3 separate regions of the Mus musculus genome follow, and all the other regions are reported to be linked to region 1. Evidence: microRNA targets listed by miRTarBase, many of them from high-throughput screens and not tested one by one. Region 1 holds a microRNA gene; each other region holds the end of a gene's coding sequence.

Region 1 (7,870 bases):
GCCGCCTTACTCTGCTTAGCAGAGATCAGGTGGCCCAGGCCCTCACACGATTCCTGGCCATGGCCTCCAGAATGGCGCTGCCTTCCCCAGCCAGGGAACAGGCAAGGCTAGAAGAGCTATCAGACTCAGATGATGAACTTGACTGAAAACACACCAAGTCACTGTCATTTTCCCTTGTGCCTCGGCCAGCTTCGCTCAGATCCAGCACACCCTCTTGCTACTCCTAACCCAAGGGGAACCCACTTGTGAAGGGCCACAACTTCATCAACCAGCAACATCATCTGTGCTAAAGAACTAGCCAACTATCAGCGTCCCAGAACCAGCCAAGACTGTGTAACCCTAACTGTCCTAACTGTCCGGGCCCCAGGCCCACAAAAGGGAGTGAGACCAATGAGGAGAGAGCAGTGATGAGCAACAGTGACCCCGTCACCCCAGGCCAGATGCAGAGCAGATACAGCAGGTGCAGCCAAGCAAGCAGATGCCAGTGACCCCACCACCACCCCCTGAGTGGCAGGCGGCCACCTGTGCATCCTGGGACACTGACCTTGGGTGCTCCACGGACTTCTACCTCTACACCGGTGCTCCGACTCCCCTGGACACGCCCCTACTCCCTCCCAGTCTCCCAAGGTGCTGTGGTTCCATGCTTTCCACAACCCCAGCCCACCCTGCAAGCAAGTCCACCCCCCCCCCCACAACCCACCCACCCACTACCGGTCTGGTCCGGCTCCATTGACACCTCATCTGACCCTGAACTCTGATCTTACCTGGGCAGAACTGCTCCAAGGAGCATTCGACGTACCAGTGTGACTTACCAGATGGACTGATCCACCCTGAAGGTCCCTGAGACTCAGAGGACCCAAGAAAGGGTGGTAGCAACCAAGTGGGGCTCCCTTTTCCCTCCCCAAATGGACATATGGACAGTGCAGGGGACAGAGACCTTCCATAAAGGAGGGAGCCCCCAAGAGACACTGGTGAAGCCCCAGATACCCAGAGTACTGTGCCAAGGAGCCAAGAGTGCTCTGACCAGACCCACTGCTCACTGCCACAGGAAGGAGAGGTCCTTCCATTGCTTTCCCAACTCATACCTGCTTTTGCCCCATGAATAAAGAGAAGAAAAGATTATCTGACTTTGTGGTTTGTTCTAAAAGGGAGAGGGTGGATAGTAGGAGGCAGGACTGGAGAACATGGAGCATGGGGTCAGAAAGGATGGAGTGTGAAGAGAGGGTTGGGATGGGCAAGGGCAAGGGTGGGAGGGGCAGGGATAGGAGGGCTTGACTCTCCAGAAACAGCTCATGAAGACATGGAGCAACAGGCCTCCTGTCTTCTCCTAAAGGGAGGGAAGTCAATTCACTCTCAAAACTTTGGGCTCCTCTGGGAAATGGACCAAGGGTTTCATGGGGCAGAAGGAGGGTACCCAGAATTCCCAGCCCTCATCTGGTCCCAGCCCTCTAGTCACATGAGAAATGAGGAATGGCCAGACTGTGCTCAATGCCCACAGCTGAGGAGGGTCAACAGGCAGGATGTTTGAGCTTGGATCCCAGAAAAACAGTTCTTAGAACCCAAGACTGCATCCCTCCACGCCCCCTCCAGCCTGCACTGGGGTCACTGTGCCCTTATGGGTCCTAAGGGGCCTCATGACAAGGAATCTACCCCTGACCATAGCACCAGAAGATCATGGGGAGGATCCCAGGTTCAAGGTCAGGGGCTCAGCCTCACTCAGCACTTCCTCCTGTTGCTAAGGAGGCTCCAGTGGCCCCCCACTGGAACCATTCCCACAGTTGGCCCCTGAGATCCTTGCCTTAAAAAAAGCTATCTTGAGGGATACTCTGGGATGGGGAAGGAGCTCCTAGGGGTAGAGGGAAATTGAGCAAATAGTCCCTTACTCACAAACTCTATACTTCCTACCCAGAAAATCTGCACACAAGCTAGGAGTATAAAAACAAGGGCCCCCTCCCACTGTGACCTCAAAGATAGTGGGCAGGTGCAATGAGCAGGGCCCTCACGCCCAAGGGCCCTTTCTTAACTCTGCCCTTTATATCTTGCCTGGAAATGTACCCCTGAGTTAACCTCAAGGGGCCCTCTTTGGCCTGAGAATGTGTCAGACCCCTGGATACCCAGCATGACACCTCCCCCTACCTGCTTTCAGCTCTTTGATCCCATCTATACAGGATCTATAAGCTTGGGTCCCAGAAAAACCCTACTTAGAACGCAAGATTGCATCCCTCCACGCCCCCTCCAGCCTGCACTGGGGTCACTGTGTCCTTATGGGTCCTAAGGGGCCTCATGACAAGGAATCTACCCCTGACGGTAGCACCAGGAGATCATGGATAGGATCCCAGGTTCAAGGTCAGGGGCTCAGCCTCACTCAGCACTTCCTCCTGTTCCTAAGGAGCGTCCATAACCTTAAGGTGGGACTGGGGTCCTATTGGAGGAGAACAAACGTACCAGTCCTGTACCCTCACTTAGTTTACCTGGGCACCTCCAACAAAACTGGGCCTCAAAACAAAACAAAACAATCCTGTCCCTGCTTGGTGAGGACTTCTCTGGCCCAGTGAATGCAGAGATGACTTAGGTCAGGACTACTGCCAGGGGCCCCAAGGCCCTGAGGGCCCCAAGCAAGTGAGAGTGAAGGAGAACTCAGTGAGCCAGCAGCCCGCCAAGAGGCTGCCAGTGATGTTGACTGCAGAGGTGCGTTTACCCACAGCCCGCACGAACACAGACCATAAAGGACAATAAAGGCCCGCAGGCCTACCAATCTACCCAGCAGGGATTTGTCCCCATTAACAGCAAAAGGAGGTGGTCCGGACTGTGAAGAGAGCTGGTGACGTGCTAAAACGTGCTAAAACGGTAGGTTATCAGGTTATCGGCGGAGCCACTTATAGAGATTGAAAAACACAACACAAACCTTTTTTTTTCTCCTGGGGAAGAGAAAAGAAAAGAAAGAAATTGGTGTGAAAGTTCCTGCTAGGGGATGATAACATCACTTCCAACCCTGTCAAGGTGAAAACCAGAGGCCAGGCCCTGGCTGCAGACTCCACCCACCAAGGAGCTGCCCCCACTTCCCAGCTTCAGTCCCCAACCAGAGAGCTCTGACAGCATCCAGGAACAAAGAGGAGCAGGGGCCCTCCCTTGCCCACCTTCCCTGTCCTCTCCATTGCTTCCCCTTATAAGATGTCCCTGCAGGTACCAGAGCCAGTGACAGCACACACACAGGACCCTGAGTCCAGAGTTTTACCAGCTCCTCACCAGGCTGGAGCAGAGATCTCCACATGCCTGGGTAACCTGGGCTAACTTGGGCTACCCCCATAGTAAGAAAAGGAAAAGAAAATATTACCCACCCCTCAACTGTCCCATACACCTTAAGCCCTGGTGCTGGGCCCAGGGGACCACATCGTTAGACACGATCTGAGACCTGAGCAGCAAACCTCATCTGGACTTTGATCCACCTGTGTGAGCTGAGAGACACGCATGACCATCTTGCCACCAAGACCGTGCAGGAGCACAAGTAGGAAGAAGGAGATTGGGGGCAGAGGGGGGGACAGGGAAGGGAGAGACAGTGGTGAAGGGGAGGGGGACTGGGTGTGGCCTGGGTCCTCCCTGTCCTGCCCTCAAATCCTTTCACAGCTTCCAGGCTATTCACTCAGGGTGCTCCTGTGTGCCGGGGCTGGCTGCCATAGCTGGTAAATGCAGTTAATAATGGTGGTGTTGTGGGGATGGAGATGGGCCCTGTATGCATGCAATGACCTAGGTATTGGGGTTCAGACTCTACGCCAGCTGCTCATTGTGCTACTGAAGTGTCTGTGGGCACCCGGCCTGGGAGGAGGATGAACAGGGATCTTCTGCACTCCTTAGGGGATCCAGAGTTTGAACTGAATGAGGTGAGACGTCTCCAGAAGGGCTCAAGGAGAGAGTAAGAGGCCGCCTGTAAGGGACCTCAGCCTCCTGGTCATAAAAACATAATCCTGGATAGAGGCAGAGGCCCCTCAAGGAGACCCTGTTCTGGGAGCACTGGTAATGCTCAGCCCTGCCCTGTCTCAGCCCTGTGCCCTGCTCTAGTAACAAAGACCCCATCTCTCAAGGATCCACCCTTTCTGCTAGGAGCTGGGTCCCCTCAGAGGACCTCCAGGAGAGAACGGCTCCTGGAATCCCAGTGGGAGGAGCCCCAGAGTAGGCCCAGGATCGACCTCTGACCTGTCTACCCTTGGCCACAGAGTCAGAGGGTGACCCTTGGCCCAGCCCCAGGGAATGTCCCACCAGGGGTATAGCTCCCCCGCCAAGGAATGATCTCAGGTATGGCCCAGCCCCGGGTATTCCCCTCCAGGAACTGTGGAGAATGGCGAGAAAGCATGCCAGGGGAAAAGAGCGAGCTGAAGACGCGTCCCTAAGCGGCCCAAGGTGCGCGGAGGAGGGTCCGGAGGCCTCACGCGGTTGAAGGGGGTGAAGAAAGGCATCATATAGGAGCTGAATGGCTGTGCAATCAACTCCTGCATGACGCCGTTCCCACCCCCCAACTTCTCACTACACTGGGACCCTCCTCTCCTGAAAAAGCAAGGCAAGAAGCACAGACAACAGGTAGGACAGACTCCCAGGGCTTAGTGTTAGAGGAAGGAAACCAAAGGCCAGCCAGCCCTAGGGCACCTGCAGCACAGTGGAAGCATCTACCCTCCTTGCCCAACCTCACTTCTTATAAACTCTCATGGAGTGACTGGAGCCAATCCAGGGGATGAGGAGGGGGGAGAGGGAGCAGAGGGATGGGAGGGAGAGAGGAGGGGCAAGGGAGCACTGAAGGAGGGGTGGGGAAGCGGAGAGGGAAGGAAGGGTGACTGTGGTCACAGGAGTGTCCTGCTAAGGTCCATCCCGAGTATCCAGTGGGTTCCTCTGCAGACCTAGAAGGGACTCATGGGAACCAGCAGGAGCTTAGACGCCCCAGATGGATCCCCCAAAAAGATGCATGGGTTAAAAGCTACTCAGTGTGGTGAGGGGACAAACTGCAGGTACAGCTAACAACCGCTCCCCAGGTTCTTTGAGTGTCAACTTGAGTTACACTCCTCCATGAATAACTAAAAACCACAAACTGCTTTTGCTTGCCTGTTAGTTTTTTTGTTTGTTTGTTTGTTTTTGAAACAGGATCTGTGTAATCCAGAGTGGATCCCGACTTCTCCATCTTCCTGCCTCAGGCTTCCAAGTGTGGCTATGATTGACAGGCCTCTGTCACCATGGCCAGCTTGAATGGCACATGTGTATCACCTTACATATGAATAAAGTAAAAAAAAAAAATCTTTCCTGACTTGTGCTCTTCTCTTCCTTGTCTGGCACACCCACCAACTGCCAACAAACACTTGTCCCAGCATAGTCTCAGAGAGCAGGGTATAAAGAGGTAGTATGGGGGTGGGAGGGAGTAGTAAGGATGGGAGGCCAGAAGACAGGTGAACACAGGTGGGGAAGGGAGGACTCGGTGTTAAGCCAGGGAGGAAGGGAGCTGCACACGACATGTGAATGACAAAGGGTTAAGGCAGCTCAATGCTGTGGTAAGATGCTGCAGATGTCAGTGGGGCAGGGGAGAGAGAGAAGGGGGGCTCAGGGCAGCATGTGGAACACAGCTGCACATCATCCAGGGCAGAAGAGGGTTGCAAAGGGACATGTATGTGTATGGGAGCATAGGGACATGGCTCACGGGAAGCAGGAGGGTCTCAGGGTGACGTATGTCACAAGGGAGAGATGAAGGATATGATATCCCACGCAAAGAGGGGGTCTTCATGTCATAAAGAAAAGAACAGGGACATCCCATGATGCCTACCTACACAGGGGGGTGTCAGTAACATATGGAGAGATTAAGGGATTAAATCTAGCGGATGGGGAGTGGTCCAAGGCTATACATGGGGGAGAGAATCCATGGTACAGGGGAGAAAAAATGTAAATGTGATGTGCAGAGGAGGGGTAACATGACACATAAAAAGAGGAGGGGCTCAGTATGACTCTTGTACAGGAGAGCCTATGACTCCTGAGAAAGAGACTGGGCTGCATGTGGGACATAAGGAGGAGGGGCTCTGATAGAGGAAATAGGGGCTCGGTGTGACATCTGTCAAGGAAAGTGTTCATCACAAGTGGGGAGAAGGACTAGATGTGACACCTATGAGTTGCTTTGTGACCTGGAGGACATGCACGTCACAGTGTGGTATGTGTAGAGGCAGAGCGCTCCATGTCACAAGGCAAGGGGTGGATGTCTCAACGTGCTGCGTGCAGAGGTGGGGCTTCCCAACATGAAGAGAGAGCGAGAGGAGAAGAGTTCCGTGTACCGCATCTGGAGCACCAGCAGGGTTTGTGGTGACTAAAAGGAACGAGGGCTATGGGACACATGATTTAGGGGCCCTCTCACGATGGAGGAGCTCAGAGTCAGGGAGGGGCCTAAGGTGAATGGGGAGTAAGTGGGATGAAGCTCGGGTGCACAGGGCACACGGGTGGGGCTAGGCTAAGCATGACACACGTGGGGAGAGGTGTTCTCTCTCTAGGACACATGGGTAGAACTCAGGTGACCACGACAGGTGTGAGAGGGGGCATACAGAACGTAGGAAGGGTTAGGCTAAGCATGACACATGTAGAGGAATGGTGCTCTTCAGGACATATGGGTGGAGCTAGGCAAAGCGTGCCCCATTATGGAATTTTCTCTTTAAGACACATGGCTGACAATAGCCTAACCCTAACACAGGATGACAAGAGGAGAGGACTCAGTGTGAGGCCAGCAATAAGACATAAGAAATGTTAACACATGAACACAGAGGGTCTTGGAAGTGCAGCCTGATGGGAGGGGTCTGTCCAAGACAAAGCAGGTGTAGTGGGAAACCATGTAAAGATAGGGAAGAGAAACTTACTCTGACCCAGGTAGGGGAGTGGAGCTGAATGTGATACCCGTGGAGAGATGAGACGCAGTGTGACTCAGGACCCTTGTTGTGATTCATGGGTGGTGGGAGGGGCTCTGTGTGTGACATAGGTGTAGAAAGTTTTGACATGTAATGGGGTCTAGATGAGAAACACTTGGAAAAGAGACACAAATGTCTTGTGCGAGGGTAGAGAGCTCATAACTCTGAGTGCCACTGTTGAAAAGGGACTTAGCCTAACACAAAGGAGAATTGAGGAACTGTGGGACACACGGCCAAGGAAAGACTTAGGATAGCACAGTGAGGACCAGTTTGATACCTAGGTGGCATGACCCCATGTGATGAACAGAAGGAGAACGGTTCTGTGAGAAAGGTGTGACAGGTGACCGAGGGGAGTCTGTGTGAGAGGAAAGGGGTTCAGTGTGTCACAGGAAAAGAGCATGTGAGGCAGGAGTAGAGAGACACAAGGAGGCAAGACTCCAGGTGTCAGGAGAGGTGGATTGTGCTCATGGTAAGAAGCATGGAGAATCTTTTCTGTTTGAGGCACATAGGCTGGAGCATGGTATGACAAATGGGGATGAGAGGTTCAAAGTGACACAGGGGAGGACACACAGGAAGGTAGTGCTTCATGTGGCACATGGGTACAAAAGGGGCTCGGCATGACACACGCATGGGTGTGACACCTGGTGGCAGAGGGGGAATTGGTGTGAAACACAAAAGGGGAGGGGACTATGCAATTCACAAGCATGAGGTCAACATGACCCATGAAGAGGAGAGGACCTCAAGAGAGCAAGAGGGCTGTGCTTTAGGTAAAACCAGAGGGGCAGGCGGGGTTCTACATGCCTGAAGAGCAAGGGTGAACACTGAGGGGAGGGGGGAGGGGGACTCAGTGTCACAGGGGAGGGTAACAGACTTGGTCTAGCACACAAATTGAGAAGTCCATGACTCAGTGGCTGTGTAAGTGAGGAGAGAGACTCCAGGTGACAGGGGTGGAG
Region 2 (7,308 bases), not on the chromosome of region 1:
TCGGCACTCATGTGTTCCACAATACACACGTGCAGGGAAAACCCTAAATACATAAGATAAATCTTCAATTTTTCCTAACTCTAACTCTAAGAAAGAAATCTGTTTTGTTTGTTTGTTTGTTTTGGGGGTTTTGTTGGTTGGTTGGCTTATTTTGTTTTTTTAAGACAGGATTTCTCTGTGTAGCCCTGGCTGTCCTGGAACTCACTCTGTAGACCAGCCAGGCCTCAAACTCAGAGTTCCTCCTGCCTCTGCCTTCCATGTGCTGGGGTTAAAAGCCTGTACCACCATCACTAGTAATAAATTAATTTAAAATAAAATAAGAAAGACATACAGACTTGAGAGCACCAGGCTCAGTGGTAGGGCTCACATTTGGTGTACCACAGGCACTGGCTTCAATCTCTAGTTCCAGAGACCGGGGAAATCACGAGGATATTGAGGTGGAATAGGCCTGTGATCTAGAATTCCTGAGGTACAAGCAAGATCACTGCAAGTTCAGGAGTAACCTCCCTAGTAAGTTCCAAGTCAGCCAGGGCGTTAGAATGAGCGTACAGTGAGATCTTACGTCAAGCCTGCACAACTTAGACTTTTTCTCAGAAATAAAAACAAAAGAAGAAGGCTGACATAGTTCAGTAGTAAAACCTGTGCTTAGTGTGAGCCCTGGGGTTTAGTTCTCTCCATCCTGTCCCCCAAAGAATGACCCTCGAAACATCCTGATCCAGCTGTCCACTGACTGTGATGTTCTTCTGCAGGGAAGTTGACAGACATCCATGGGAATGCCCTGCAGTACAACAAGGAGGTGAAACATATGAACTCTGCCGGTGTCCTGGCTGCACTGAGGAACTACGAGTACTATGCAAGCCATGTTCCAGAGTCGGTCAAAAATGCGCTCATTCCATGAAGGGGTCTCACTTACCCAGAGGCCTTGGTTCAAAGGAACACATCTTAATACTGATTACTAATTGAACAATTGGAGCTCTGCCTGCATTTATCATTGATCAGCGATTTATTAGTAGTTAGGGATAGAAGATGGAATTAAAGAATTTTCTTCACATCATCTAATACGCTTAAGACTTAAGTATATGATACGATTGTCATTTCTCCTGCCTAAAAACAAATTAGCCAGGTGTGGTGGCACTTACAATAGTCATAGCTACTCCAGTGGTTGAATCAGAGGATTGCTTGAGCCTAGCCTCCATTACATAGCAAGATATGCCTAAACACAGAGAAGGAAAACAAAAAAGGAATTTAATTTTACTAATTAGCTAACAGGACCAGTTGTTTTTTTTTGTTTTTTTGTTTTTTTTTTTTTCCTTTCTCTTGTTGTTTGGGCTTTTTGTTTGTTTGCTTGTTTGTGGGTTTTGTTTTGTTTGTTTATTTTTTTGTTTTTTGTTTTTGTTTTCAAGACAGGGTTTCTCTGTGTAGCCCTGGCTGTCCTGGAACTCACTTTGTAGACCAGGCTGGCCTTGAACTCAGAAATCCGCCTGCCTCTGCCTCCCGAGTGCTGGGATTAAAGGCGTGTGCCACCACCGGCCGGCATTGTTTTTGTTTTTTTGAGACAGGGTTTCTCTGTGCAGCCCCAGCTGTCCTGGAACTCACTCTGTAGACAAAGTTGGCCTTGCACTCAGAGATTCCCCTGCCTCTGCCTCCTTAGTGCAGGGATTAAGGGCTTGCCCCACCACACCTGGCTCAAATGTTACTATTTCTAAGTGAAGAAATGAAAAAGGGTTAGTTTCAAATGACTGTCCAAGTCATTTGTGCAGTCAACATTCCTGCTGATAAACCAGATTTCTTCAGGGCACAGAGTCTTAAGTTACTCCAGAATTTCAGTTGTTTTGTTTTTTCACAGTAATTTTTAAAATTTCTGATTCCAAATAAGAATGCATATAATGATATTATTTATGTTGATTTATGGGGGAAAGTTTCTCTAAAATACATAGTCCTATCTTTTCATATTATATATCAGATTTTTTTCAAAAGTATTTGAAAATTATAAATAATGTGAGGATTAATTTATTCTCTTGTTATTAAAATCTATAATTGGAAAGCTGGGTAATTGCCTTTATTCCTTCCCCTGAGAGAATGTACAATCAGTTTGATTGTCACCTTCAGTAGACTGAGAAGCCCTACCTACATCAGGAAACAGGGCTCCCAGGAAGGATGAGCTGAGCTGGAAATGTAGGCGGCACTATCGCCTATGCTGGAGCCTGGATGGAATGAAAGGGGACAGAGAAAGCCAAGTGCCACGGGTTCTGTTTCTGCTGTCTGGTTGCCGTAAGGTGAGCTGCTTTGTCCACCATCCCTCCTGGCAGCCCCACCCCTAACCTTCTTGAAATCTTTCCCTCTGGCACTTGTCACAGCAACACAAGAGTCTTCTTTAAATGTGATGTTCACAAATCTTTGGGTATTTCATTCAGGCAAAGGTCTGTGCCGATCATAATTGCCATTCCTTCCCACAACCACGTTCACACGCCTGTAACCTCTCCCAGACCCACTCCACCTCTTACCACTTCCCAGCCTCTTTTCCTTTTCTTACAGTAACGACCAAGTCTAGTTTCTGCTGTCCATGTTCTCTGGTAAGTGGTCATCCACTGAGTGTAGTCGGCCTACCAGAAGCTGCACCCTTAAAGAAAGCTAGCTTTTACTCCTACAGAAGCTATCAATGTCAGCATGCCGTGAGATGGTGGTAGATGCCCCTCCCCTGCCAAGCTGGAATGTTAACAGGCTTGATCTTGGTTTTGGTGGGGTCTTAGGCAACCTCAGCTGCTGTGAGCTCATGAGTGTAGCGGTCATGTTTGACCCTGATTCTCCCTGACCTCTGACTGTTCCAATCCTTAACAGAAGCCCTAATACACTCTCCTACTTTAATGTTTTTTTTTTTTCACTTTTTTTTTCCAGTTGTGGATATTGAATCCAGGGCTTTGTACATACCAGTCCAATGTTCTACCAACTAAACTATATCCTCCCCCCATGGCTTTTTTTTTTTTTTTTACTGTTTTGGTCTCTGTCTGTTCTTTTGGATGAAGCAAGTAGAATGCACACTCAGAATGTTTAAGGCCCTGGGTTTAATTACTAGAGCAGCAGTCTCCAAAACAACTGCATGACAGATTCACCTGAAAAATTTTTTTCAATGCACTAATTCTGATTGATTGATTGATTGATTGATTGGTTGATTGGTTGATTTTGCTTTCAGAAAGCTGCTTTTGGGGCTGGAGAGATAGTTCAGAGGTTTAAGAGCACTGACTGCTCTTCCATAGGTCCTGAGTTCAATTCCCAACAACCACATGGTGGCTCACAACCATCTGTAACAAGATCTGGTACCCTCTTCTGTTGTGTCTGAAGAAAATGACACTGTACTCACATACATAAAATAAATAAATCTTTAAACCAAAAAAAAAGGCTACATTGGGCATGTGGCTTTGCCTGTGATTGCAATAACTTAGGAAGGATACAGGAGGATGAAGAGTTCAAGTCTAAGTAATACAGGGAGACACTGTTCTTTAAAAAAAGGGGGTGGGGCTGGACAGATAGGTTAGGGGTTAAGAGTCCTTGTTGCTCTAGAGAGGATCTGGATTTGGTTCCCAGCACACATTAAGAGGCAGCTCACTATCTCCTGCAACTCCAGTTCCAGAGGGTTTGACACCCTCCCTCCCTTTAAGGCACCTGCACACATGTCACACATAACTTATGCAGGCATGCATACATACACAAAAATTAAAAGTAATTACATTTTATGCTGATCTTGGGATAATTACTGTATTGCTCACTGGGATTACATCCATGGCTTTTTTATAGGACTGTCAGGATCTAGTAACAGGAAGGCATATCTGTGGCTTCGAAGGATTTGATCACTCCCTCTCGTAACTCCTGATTTTCGTTCTCTCCCTTCTAGCTGCTTGCCCTCAGTCATTTTGCTCTCTCCTTGTCTTCCTTCCCTCAGATGTCACTGTTGGCTGAGGTTGTACTCCTGGCTTTCCACTTTCTCAGTAGATTATCTGATACCTCCAAATAAACGACTTCACATAAGGTCTTTGCCCAGACGTACAAATGTAGAGCTCAACGAATTCTCAGTAGCTTATGCTCGACTTAGAGTGCTGAAGATTCTGTGAGACCAACTCTGGCAACAATATCATCCTGCCTGAAACTAACAACAATAAACACACAATATGTATTTGGATTAAAATGCTCAAACTCTAAGCCTAGTATGGTGGTACACATTTGCCATCTTGGTACACCAGAGGCTGAAGCAGGAGGATTCTAAGACTGAGGCCCACTTTTGCTATGTTGTAAGAACCTGCCTCAAACATACAACAAAACTGACAAGCTAGACCTCCACTCTTAAGGCCTACTTTGATGTCTTATAGTCTCCCCTCCCCCACGTTGTTTCTAAACAGTCCTTCTGTCTTGCTCCCACTCTAATTTGACAAAACCACATGTTTTGTAACTCCACCACATCTGATCATCACTGCTTCATTCTATTTTGTTTTCATTTATTTTCTTTCTTGCTGGCATACAGTTCTATGAACAGTGAGATAAACTGAGTTTTTAGAAATGGGGGGGGGGCACTGTGGGGATGGCTCAGTGATAAAGAAGACTTCCTGGTTTGCTGAGATCTCGAGTTCACTTCCCAGCACACACCAGGTGATTCACATCCACCTATAACTCCAGCTCCAGGAGGTTGGATGCCCTCATATACCTCCAGGGTTACACACAGAAAAATAAACAAATTTAAAAGTTGTTTTTTTATTTTAAATTATGTATGTGTGGTTTGTATGTGTGAGGCCAATGCCCTGGAGGCCTGAAGAGGGTGCTGGAGTTAGAGATGGTGGTGAGCTGCCTGTGGTAACCCTGGTAACAGCAAGTGCTCTTTTTATTTATGTTTGTTGGTATTTTGCCAGCATGTATATCTGTGCACATGTATGTGCATGTATATCTGTGCACATGTATGTGCATCTAATGCCTGCAGGGGCCAGAGAAGGTATGGGATTCTTTCCTAGTTTTATGTCAACTTAACAGAAGCTAGAATCATTTTGGAAAAGGAATGTTTCCACCAGATTGGCCTGTGGTGCATTTTCTTGACTGATGATTGACGTGGGAGGGCCCAGCTCTGTATTCAGTGACATTCCTGAGATGGTGGTCCTGGGTACTATAAGAAAACAGGCTGAGCCAGCCCTGAAGAGCAACCCAGTAAATAGCGCCCCTCCATGGCTTCTATATCAGGTTCCTGCCTCCAGGTTCCTGCTTGAATCCCTGCTCCTACTCAGCTGCAGTGATGGACTGTTATCTGGAAGTGTGAGATAAAATAAGCCTGCCCCCATCCCAAGTTGCTTTTGGCCATAGTGTTTTATGAGAGCAACAGAATTTCTAACTAAGACACCCTGCAATCTGAGTTATATATGTTTGTGAGCCACCATGTAGGTTCCAGGAATTAAACCAGAATCCTCTGTGAGAGCAGCCACTGTTCTTAACTGCTGAGACACTCCTTATCCCCACCCCCTAAGTAAACATTTTAAAGTAGCTCAGTGGTGATTTCCCCAGCATGCATCAGGGCTTCGGATACAGGATTGGGGAAACGCCTCATTTTTGTGACATAACCCATTTTCTGCAGTTTGTTTGTTTGGTTTTTTTGGTTGGTTGGGTTTTTTTTTTTTTTTTTTTTTTTTTTTTTTTTTTTTTTTTTTTTGTAAATAGAGTTCTTTAGTTATTTCAGGTCAATCCTTGTGATAGATAGGTAGATATAGAGATTCTGCCTCAGACGATCAAACCAACAAATAAGTATAGTAATGGTTAAAAGACAAGAACTTCAAGAAAGACTTCAGGACTCAGTGTTTAGTATCTTAAGAGTAGAACACTTGCAGAGCCTTGGCTAGATTGCTCAGATGCAAAACCAAAAGCACACTGCTGCCCTAATATTTGTCCTGTTTCCGGGTGTATAAGTAGGCATCTTTCAGGGGGGTTTCTAATCCAAATTCTCTGTGATGCATGTGTTTGCCCAGGGCATTTTCCAAAAGTTCAAGTTCAAGGTGCAGGCGAGATTTCAGAAGCAGTACATATTTACCCTTACCTTCCAATAGCCTCAGGAATGTGCCAATGTTTTCATGTAACTATAGGGTAGCTATTTCTTTGGGTCCCTGCCTCTGAACCAGCATTTATACACAGCCATTTTGCAGCCGGCAAGGTACTTCTATTACAAAGGAATGAAAGAAGGCACCAGCCAGTGCACTTAATGCCATTTTGTTTCTTCTCTGACTCAATCCCCTACCCCCAGTCATACTCTTCTCTAATTACCTTGGATTCCAGAAATGACAAGACAAGTCTATCATGAAGACCTCCTCAGAGGCAGCCACTATGATTCAAAGTTGGAGTTTACTATGTGATTTTTTTTTTTTTTAAAGCATGGGAGTTGACAGGTGCTCCAAAGAGGACGCATACCACAGTCACACTTCATGGTCTTAGCAAGAACACTGAAGTTATTATTTTTAAAGGTTATTAAGGAATTTGGTCATGGGCTGTTCCTGAATTGTTCTTTTGTTTCCACTGTGAACACAAGTTAACTGTTGTGAGGTTCGCAGACCATCCTTAAGCTCACATACGCGTAGGCCTCCAGCCTGAATTATTATTATTGGTTTTTTGAGACAGGGTTTCTCTGTATAGCCTGAATTATTATTAACCCTCTCATTTGAAGATGCTTCTCTCTAAAACAGACAAACAAAACCCCCAAACATTGTCAATATTGGCAGGCTTCACTACAGATAGTAACATCTGGAAATCTTGATTCTCAGGGCCAGGAGGCCCAGCAAGCAGGTCCTTTTTCTCTTTGTCCCCATAGTTTTCTGTATTTCTAGCTTGCCTCCTAGATGCTGGGACGTGCACCACACCAAACAATCCTGAAAATATTTCCTTTTAGAGAAGACTGAAGGGAAGCTCCCTTATACCCAGTGTAGCTCGTCGACTTTGTGCATGGATGTGCCACTGCCCCAGAATGGACTAGTCTATCGTCCGCCTGCTTCCCTCACTTTCCGATGGGTCTTAACGGCTGTTCCTTTTCCACAACGGAGTGGCACCTCACGGGTGCCCAGTCCTGCTGCCAAGAGGCAACTGGAGCGTGCGGTTAAGGTGGAGGCGACGCACGGCGATTACGTTCAATAGCGTTCGCCAGACGTCAGTATCCGCGGGCCGGGGACGGGAGAGAGGCTGAAATGTCGTGGGCGCGCAGCGATGACGCACAGAGTAGCCTGCCTTGACCTCTCTGCAGTCGTGGCGCGTGGAGTGGGGCGGAGCGAAGGCTGCCTTGGCGGGCGCATATTTATG
Region 3 (7,308 bases), not on the chromosome of region 1:
TTACCCTGGGTTTGTTCCTGCAACCACAAAAACAAATAAATAAAAATAACTTGGATTGAAACATTTTATTTTATAAATAGCGGTGTTATGGTTGATATGGTGGTTAGTCTTGTTTGGGGGATTTGATGGATGGAATATAGCATCACCATGGAAACAAGTCTCTGGGCTTGTGTGTGAGGGATTATCGAGATTAGATTAATTGAAGTGAAAAAAAAAAAAAAACCTAAATGTAGCAGACACCATTCCATGGACAAGGTCCCAGACTGAATTAGAATAAGAAAATGAGCTAAAGCAGGGAGATCTCTCACTCTGGTTTCTCACTGTGGACAGAATAGGACCAGTCTCCTCCTGCTCCTGCTGCCAAACCGTCAGCGACCGTATACTGTATTCCCGGTTGCTTTTGTCAAGTATTTTGTCCCAGCATCAAGACAAATAACTAACAAAGTCAGAAAACCAACTCTCAAAAATTGTCCTCTGACCTTCACAGGAACCCCAAGATGTTACACACACACACACACACACACACACAGACATACACACACAAACACACACATAAATAGATGTAAAAATAAATAATTAAGTGGATATAGAAAGTAGCCTTGTGCATCTGATTGAAAACAAGCTTAATTGGGTCAGGGATGTCGCACAGTAGGTAGAGTGATCTATAGCATGCTTGAAGCCCTGGGGCCATCCCTTAGTCCCCCAAACAAAGCATAATAGCACCTATAATCCCAGTGTTTGAGAGGTAGATGTAGGAGGCTCAGAAAGGGTTAAGGACATCCTCAGCTACATAATGAGTTGGATGCCCACTGGGACTACATAAAAGTCTACCCAAAACAAAAACAAAAAAACCTTTGGCCCACATAGGAGCTATCCCCAAAAGAAATTCAAATTCAACCCCCTTTAAAATGCTGTATACAGGGAATAGAGAGATGGCTCAGGGGGTGGGGGGGTCAGGAGCACTTACTGCTCTTGCAGTTTTGTTCCCCAGAACCCATGTGTGTTGGGGGAGGTGTCACTACCATCTGTGACTACAACTCTAGAGCTTCTGACAATCTGTGGGTCTGTTGCCCTGACACACAAGTGCAAGTCAGTGGGCAACTTTTGGGAGTCAGTTTTCTCCTCTCATTGCATAGGTTCCTGCTGTGCATCAAAAATTTTCCTGGGGAGATGCACATGTCTACTCATCCCAGATAGGGAGACCACAGCAGACCAAAGTACAGATACCACTGAAGTCCAACTTAGTGAACCAATTATAGGAATATGGGTGAAAGGTTACTTAGAGGAGCAGAAATGACCCAGTGACAGCTGCATCACCAAGGCCCACCTCAGCATAGGTGATAGCTCACAAAAGCTGGGAACCTGGAGCTCACTCCACAGCCTGAAAGCAGTTCACCAGGTTGAAAAATATCCTTTCCAAGTGATTCGGTTTGTCTAAACCCCTTCCGGGCAGCTCAGCTGGTTTCTGCTTCTTCCAGGCAGCTGGTCTGATCTCAGTCTCTCTAGCTTTGCTTGTCAGAACCCTCTTTGCACCTTGGCTTGTTTGAGAGTGACTCTCAGCAGTTTTATTGCCTACTCTGGGGGAGAGGGACCTAGTGAGCCTGATCAGTTTCAGGAACTTCCTGAAGCTATTTTAAATAGTTGACCTCCCTGCTTAAAATGCTTCCCTGCGGGAAGGAGTGTTCCAGTTTCGAAGGAGACTGTTATGCAACAGTCCCAGGGACTGAATTCAAGTCCACAGGCTTGGGAGCAGGGGCCTTTACCTTCTAAACCATGTTACCAATCCAAGACACAGCATAACCTAACATTCTATAAAGTATTGAGCTATGATCTGAGACACTGTCAAATACTGCTAGGAATGTTGTTAGTTATAAGCTGCTATTGTAAGCACCATTCATGTGTACTTTTCTTTCAGATAAGCTAGACTGTTGGCAGCCTGGCATATTTTACCCTTTAATTGGCAAATGCCAGATACTTCCCTGTACCAGCTACTCTGGATGGTATGTGGTCAACCAAGCAACACCTCTCTGGGTGACTAGTCACCACACTATGGCAGCCAGGCATACGGTGACTTGAAGTAACTGCACTCCAGTTATGAGAGGTACAGCTGCCACTGCAGGAGGCCTTGTTCCAGAGAACTCCCAGAAATCTTGTGATTGGTCCTTATACAGGGCCAGTGATTGGAACTAGGTACCATTAAGTGATGGATGGGAATTTTGAAGCATCCACAAATGTGCCTTGCCCCTTTTCTGTCTACAAAAATAGCTTGTTTTCCTGTTTTTTTTCAGGATAGTTAGGAGGCCTTTCTTTCTTCCATAAGTCTCCAGGATAGGCTTTTTGTCTATTTGTGGTCTTTAACACGGAATGAAAGCTGGACTGGCTACAAAAACAAGCAGAACGCTGGGGCTTCCAGTGACATCAACAGCCACCACTGTATGAAGGCAGCTGAAGAACCCTGTGGAGTCACAGGAATAGAGAGAGGTCTCTCATACCTGTGGCTAGAGAAATACACCAGGCAGCTGACCTTAGGGCTCTGACACCTAAAGTTCTGAGATCTGATGCCAGGGCGCAGAAGGGTTTGGAGAGTCCCAGTGAAAACAGAAACTTCAAAATGCCAGAGACAGGGCTGGCGAGATGGCTCAGCGGGTAAGAGTACTGACTGCTCTTCTGAAGGTCCTGAGTTCAAATCCCAGCAACCACATGGTGGCTCACAACCATCCGTAACGAGATCTGGCGCCCTCTTCTGGAGTGTCTGAAGACAGCTACAGTGTACTTACATATAATAAATAAATAAATCTTTAAAAAAAAAAAAAAATGCCAGAGACAGCTGGTCAGGGTGGTGCACACCTTTAATCCCAGCATTTGGGGGGCAGAGGAGAGCAGATCTCTGTAAGTTCAAAGCCAGCCAGGATTATATAGTGAGACTCTGTCTTAAAAAAAAAAAAAAAAAAAAAAAAGGCAGATCCAGATGGTAGAAGTGTTGAAAGGGCAAGGGACATCAAAGAAGCTGAAGCTATTGTGAAAGATGAGTGATTTTGATTTGTGGAAGCTGAGCCTATGAGATCTTTCCTAACTGCTACAAAGTTTGGTGGAACCAACAGAGACAAACAAGCCATAAGTCCTGACACTCAGAAGCTGTACCACAGCTGGCTGTGGCCCACTGAGCCCACAGCAGTGACTCTCTAGCAGTGACCCTCTACTGAGAACAGCAAGTCTCTGGCTCTGAAAGCTTGCAATCCTAAGCTTCTGCTTCTCAGAGATTAGAACTATCTGCCTCTGGGCTTGGAAATTCACCCTCTGAATCTAAGGATCCCCAACATTAAGAGTTGGATCTTGCCTCTCTGTGATTTCTATCATGAAAGAACAAAAGAGGCACCCCCACCCCAGCTCACCCCTGCCAGCCATTTGTAACACCAAGACACCGGGTGTTCTATTCCTGTGAAGAGACACCATGACTACAGCAACTCTTATACAGGAAAACATTTAATTGGGGCTGGCTTACAGTTTGAAGGTCTAGTCCATTGTTATCATGCCCAAAGCATGGCAGCATACAGGCAGACATGGTGCTGAAGAGATAGCTGAGAGCTCTACATCTTGATCCATAGGCAGCAGGAAGAGAGCAACACTGGGCTTGGTTGAGCTTTTGAACCTTTAAAGCCCACTCCCAGTGACACGCTTCCTCCAACGAGGCCACACCTCCAAATCCCTCTAAAGTAGTGCTACTCTTTGATAACCAAGCATTAAAATGTAAGAGCCAGGTAGAAGTAGCGCAGGCCTTAATCCTAGCACTCAGGAGGCAGAAACAGGCAGATCTCTGTGAGCTCAGAGCCAGCCTGGCCTACAGAGCAAGTTCCAGGACAGCCAACGGTACACAGAGAAATCCTGTCTGAGCCTATGGAGGCCGTTCTTGTTCAAACCACTGTACTAGTATATCATCAATTTTTTATAAATGTGTTATGTATGTCGTTAGACTTTGTGTCTCACACTTATACTGCATGTCTATTGAAACTGTTTCTTGACAACTTTTTAAACTTTTCTACATCTTTATGTTGCTTTACCAGGTCCTAGAAGTTATACTTTTTTTTAGTTTTTATATGTGTGTGGGTGCTTTGCCTGCACGTATGTCTGTGTGTGCAGTGCTGGTGGAGGGTAGAAAAAGTTGCTGGATCCTCTGGAGCTGAAGTTACAGATGGTTGTGAAGAACCACGTGTGTTGGGAAACAAAACTCAGGCTCCCTGGAAAAGCAGCCAGTGCTCATAACCACTAAGCCATCTTTCCAGCCTCAAAAAATATTTATTTTTCTAAGAAGGAACCAAAATGAAGCCATTTTAAGTAAAACTTTCATTTTAAATAGGAGTCAAATAAAATTTAAGTTCCCAAGACCTCCCTGGGTACTGGGTACTGGGTGCCTGTCATCCTGTTTGGCAGAGAGAGATACACATAGGTAACTGACATCCTGGTTGACAAGTTCAGACATGAATGTTAGGTTAGTGGTCCTGCCATAGTTGAATAGCCCAACCAATGGGAACAGGATAAGTGTAGCACAAAGACAAGTTCCTAAGGAAATCCACTGTCCCTAAATCCTGATTGGTGGAAAATGTAACTGTAACTTGGCCCAGATGTTGGTGATTTTCAAGCTTTAAAGCTCTGTAGCACTCTGGCTCCAGGTCACAGTTCAGCTCCCAAGTCTGTCCTGCAGCCCTGGTCAATCAGTAGCAGCTTGGTCACGACACAGTTTTGTCCTTTGCATTGATCTGGTGTTTGAGTCGAGTTGGATTTAAGCAGACCCCATAACATTTTGATCTCCGACTACAATGGTAAATTGTCAATTTACTGGCCAAGAATTCACGATCTACTTTGAGACTATTAAATGCAAATGAATTTAGAATTAGTATATACTTTAATTGAGTTGAAACTTTAATCAAGATTGTTTTATTATCTCTGTGTAGTAATCATTTTGTTCAATTATATACTACACACAATCTCTGTGTAGTAAATTATTTTTGCCTTAAAGTCTGTATTTTCTTCCAGTTTTTAAAAACTTTTTATAGTGCTTACTTATGTATTGCATGCAGATATATGTGCACCAATATTATGGTACATAAGTGGAGGTCAGGAGACAACTTTTGGGAGTTGGCTTGTTCCTTCCACTGTGTGCATCCCATGGACTAAACTCGGGTCCACAGAATTGGCAGCAAACAGCTCCACTTTCTGAGCCCTCTCCACGGCCCCAGATTGCTTTTCCTCATTTGACAGTTAAGTTTCATTTAGTTCTCTTGTATTTGTTTTTTCTCCTTCTTTCTCTTGCCCCACTCACTATTAGTTTAGGTATAAATTAATATTATCTAAATATTATGAATATTGTGTGGGAGGGTGAGCATCGGGACACCTGCCCTTTGAACTTAGGTCTAGGTCCTTTGGGTTTGGGGACCTTGAGCACTGACGTGAAGCCCTAAGGAACCTGAGCCAAAGAAAACTATTCTCTCAGTGCTGGAACTCAGCGAGCACATGTGTATTCTGTGCAAGATGCGCATAAGTCGGGAGAAAGCTTTTACAGAGCAACGTTTCAATCCTGACCAGGGCTCCAACAGACAAGATGTATGTCACGGCGAGCAAGCCAATAAGCAGCACCCATCATGGTTTCTGCTTCGGTTCCTGCCTTGAGTTCCTTTGAGCGTCTCTCAATGGACTGTGGCCAGGGATATGTAAGCCAATAAACCATTTCCTCCCCCAAGGGGTTTCAAGTCTTTATCTTAGCAATAGAAACCTGACTAGAACAGAGCTGTACTGCAGAAGGAAATCGGAAGGTTTTAGGATGACACGAGGGATTGAACCTAAAACTGCATGCTCGCCAGGAAAGCACTCTATCACTGAGCTAAAGCCCCAACACTCCAGGATTTGTCCTTCTCACACCACTGAATATCCATAAACTCCAGCGCCTGAGTCTCAAAGCGCCACGTTGAAACAAGTTCTAGGCCAAGATCCCTGGCTATCTGATGTTTCCATTTCTGTGTACCCAGGCTGTCTCCTTTGGCATACCATAGTATCTGGCACGCAGTAATGCGCTTCACTTGAGATAACAGTGTTGGACTCTGTTTTCTGCAATACAAAGGGTACCACAGCAAACAGAAAGGCCAGCCAGGAAAGACTGTTATCCAGAACAGAGCCCCGAGCTTCCCTCCAGAGACTTCACACCAGGTAGCTACTGCAGTATCCTCACAAAAATTCCTTTCTTGTGGTTTATTGTATGTTGTGAAAATAAACCTAATTATAAAGCAATAGAATCTATAAATCAAACTCCAAACCCTCTAGCAAAAGAAGAGCCCAAAAACTGGGCAGTCATTCAGCTCATTGCTTCTGTTTCTTGTTTCTGGAGAGCATGACTCCAACGAGGCCCAAGGCCGCCAAGCCCACTCCAGCGATGCCTACCGCCTTGACCGCATCTCTGACCTGCAACAGAGAGGAGGGTGAGTCAAGCTCTGTGTAACGAGTGTGGGAACAGGCTTTTCATTGACCAGGGTCACTCTGCTCATGTCACTTCGCATGCCCCCTTCGCTTCCAGTGGCCAAACTGAAGAGCCAACAAATACTGGCAGGGGCAGTGGGAAGGAGAGGGCTGGGCAAGGAAATGAATGGACAGAACCAGCTGGCCTGGAATTGACACAGACTCAAAATAGTAACCTGAATGAGGCTCTGGACTATTTAAAGCATACAAACCTTTGTAAGGCATCTATGGAAAGAAGAGAGGGATGACAGCAGAATGGGAAGATGGACAGCCAGTGGGCAAGTGTAAGGTCAGGAAGGGATTGCAATTGAGAACTCAAAAAAAAAAAAAAAATCTGACCTCCATGAGAGCAAGGACCTCACCTCATGCCATGTGTCCAGTGTCCGGCCTGCCAGGCTTGGAGGTGCTCAGCCCTTTAAAGGGCTGGGGTTTCTTGTGTTTGTTTGTTTGTTTGTTTGTTTGTTTGTTTGTTTGTTTTGCTGAATGCTTGTTTTTCTCTTATGGAGTCAGGATCTTGCTCTGTAGCACCCTGAACTCAAGACCCCCTGCCTTGGCCTCCTGAGTGCCAGGCATGACACTACACCCAGCTCTCTCTTTGTATGGACTCCAGTGTTCACCAAGAGACCAGAGTCAAGACATAGTTGCCTCTATTCCACAGGTCTCTTTTTATTTATTTTTATTTTTATTTTTATTTTTTTAAGAAAAGGTTGCATGTAGTCCAGACTGGTCTCAAACTTGGTCTTAGTTACAGTTTCTATTGCTGTGATAAAACACCGTGACCAAAAGCAACTTGTAGAAGAAAGG

Evidence for each region. The annotated mature microRNA mmu-miR-665-3p reads ACCAGGAGGCUGAGGUCCCU and lies in region 1 at 3,928-3,947, opposite strand. An mRNA with a match to its seed (bases 2 to 7 or 8) in the 3' UTR can be bound and repressed. Matches are read on the target gene's strand: a 7mer-m8 pairs with bases 2 to 8, a 7mer-A1 pairs with bases 2 to 7 and ends in A, and an 8mer does both.
Region 2: miRTarBase lists Bpnt1 as a target of mmu-miR-665-3p. Seed matches in the 3' UTR shown: 7mer-A1 at 1,432-1,438 and 7mer-A1 at 1,584-1,590.
Region 3: miRTarBase lists Plaat3 as a target of mmu-miR-665-3p. Seed matches in the 3' UTR shown: 7mer-A1 at 5,891-5,897 and 7mer-A1 at 3,852-3,858.

Annotation. Positions count from the first base shown.
Region 1 is chr12:109,582,445-109,590,314 of GRCm38, reverse strand. It overlaps Mir665 (microRNA 665), which reads right to left and starts at 4,001; the gene lies at 3,908-4,001. Rtl1 (retrotransposon Gaglike 1) reads left to right here. Exons shown (of 2, transcript NM_184109.2): 2 at 1-1,122. The coding sequence ends at 146. Mir337 (microRNA 337) reads right to left here and starts at 4,526; the gene lies at 4,430-4,526. It overlaps Mir3544 (microRNA 3544), which reads left to right and starts at 4,442; the gene lies at 4,442-4,502. It also overlaps Mir540, Mir3070a and Mir3070b.
Region 2 is chr1:185,355,729-185,363,036 of GRCm38, forward strand. Bpnt1 (3'(2'), 5'-bisphosphate nucleotidase 1) reads left to right here. Exons shown (of 9, transcript NM_011794.3): 9 at 750-2,041. The coding sequence ends at 898. It also overlaps a transcript of Eprs not described here. Among named protein-coding and RNA genes, the nearest start is that of Eprs, 3.7 kb to the right of the region's middle.
Region 3 is chr19:7,584,707-7,592,014 of GRCm38, reverse strand. It overlaps Plaat3 (phospholipase A and acyltransferase 3), which reads right to left. Exons shown (of 5, transcript NM_139269.2): 5 at 3,470-6,450. The coding sequence ends at 6,349. Among named protein-coding and RNA genes, the nearest start is that of Lgals12, 19 kb to the left of the region's middle.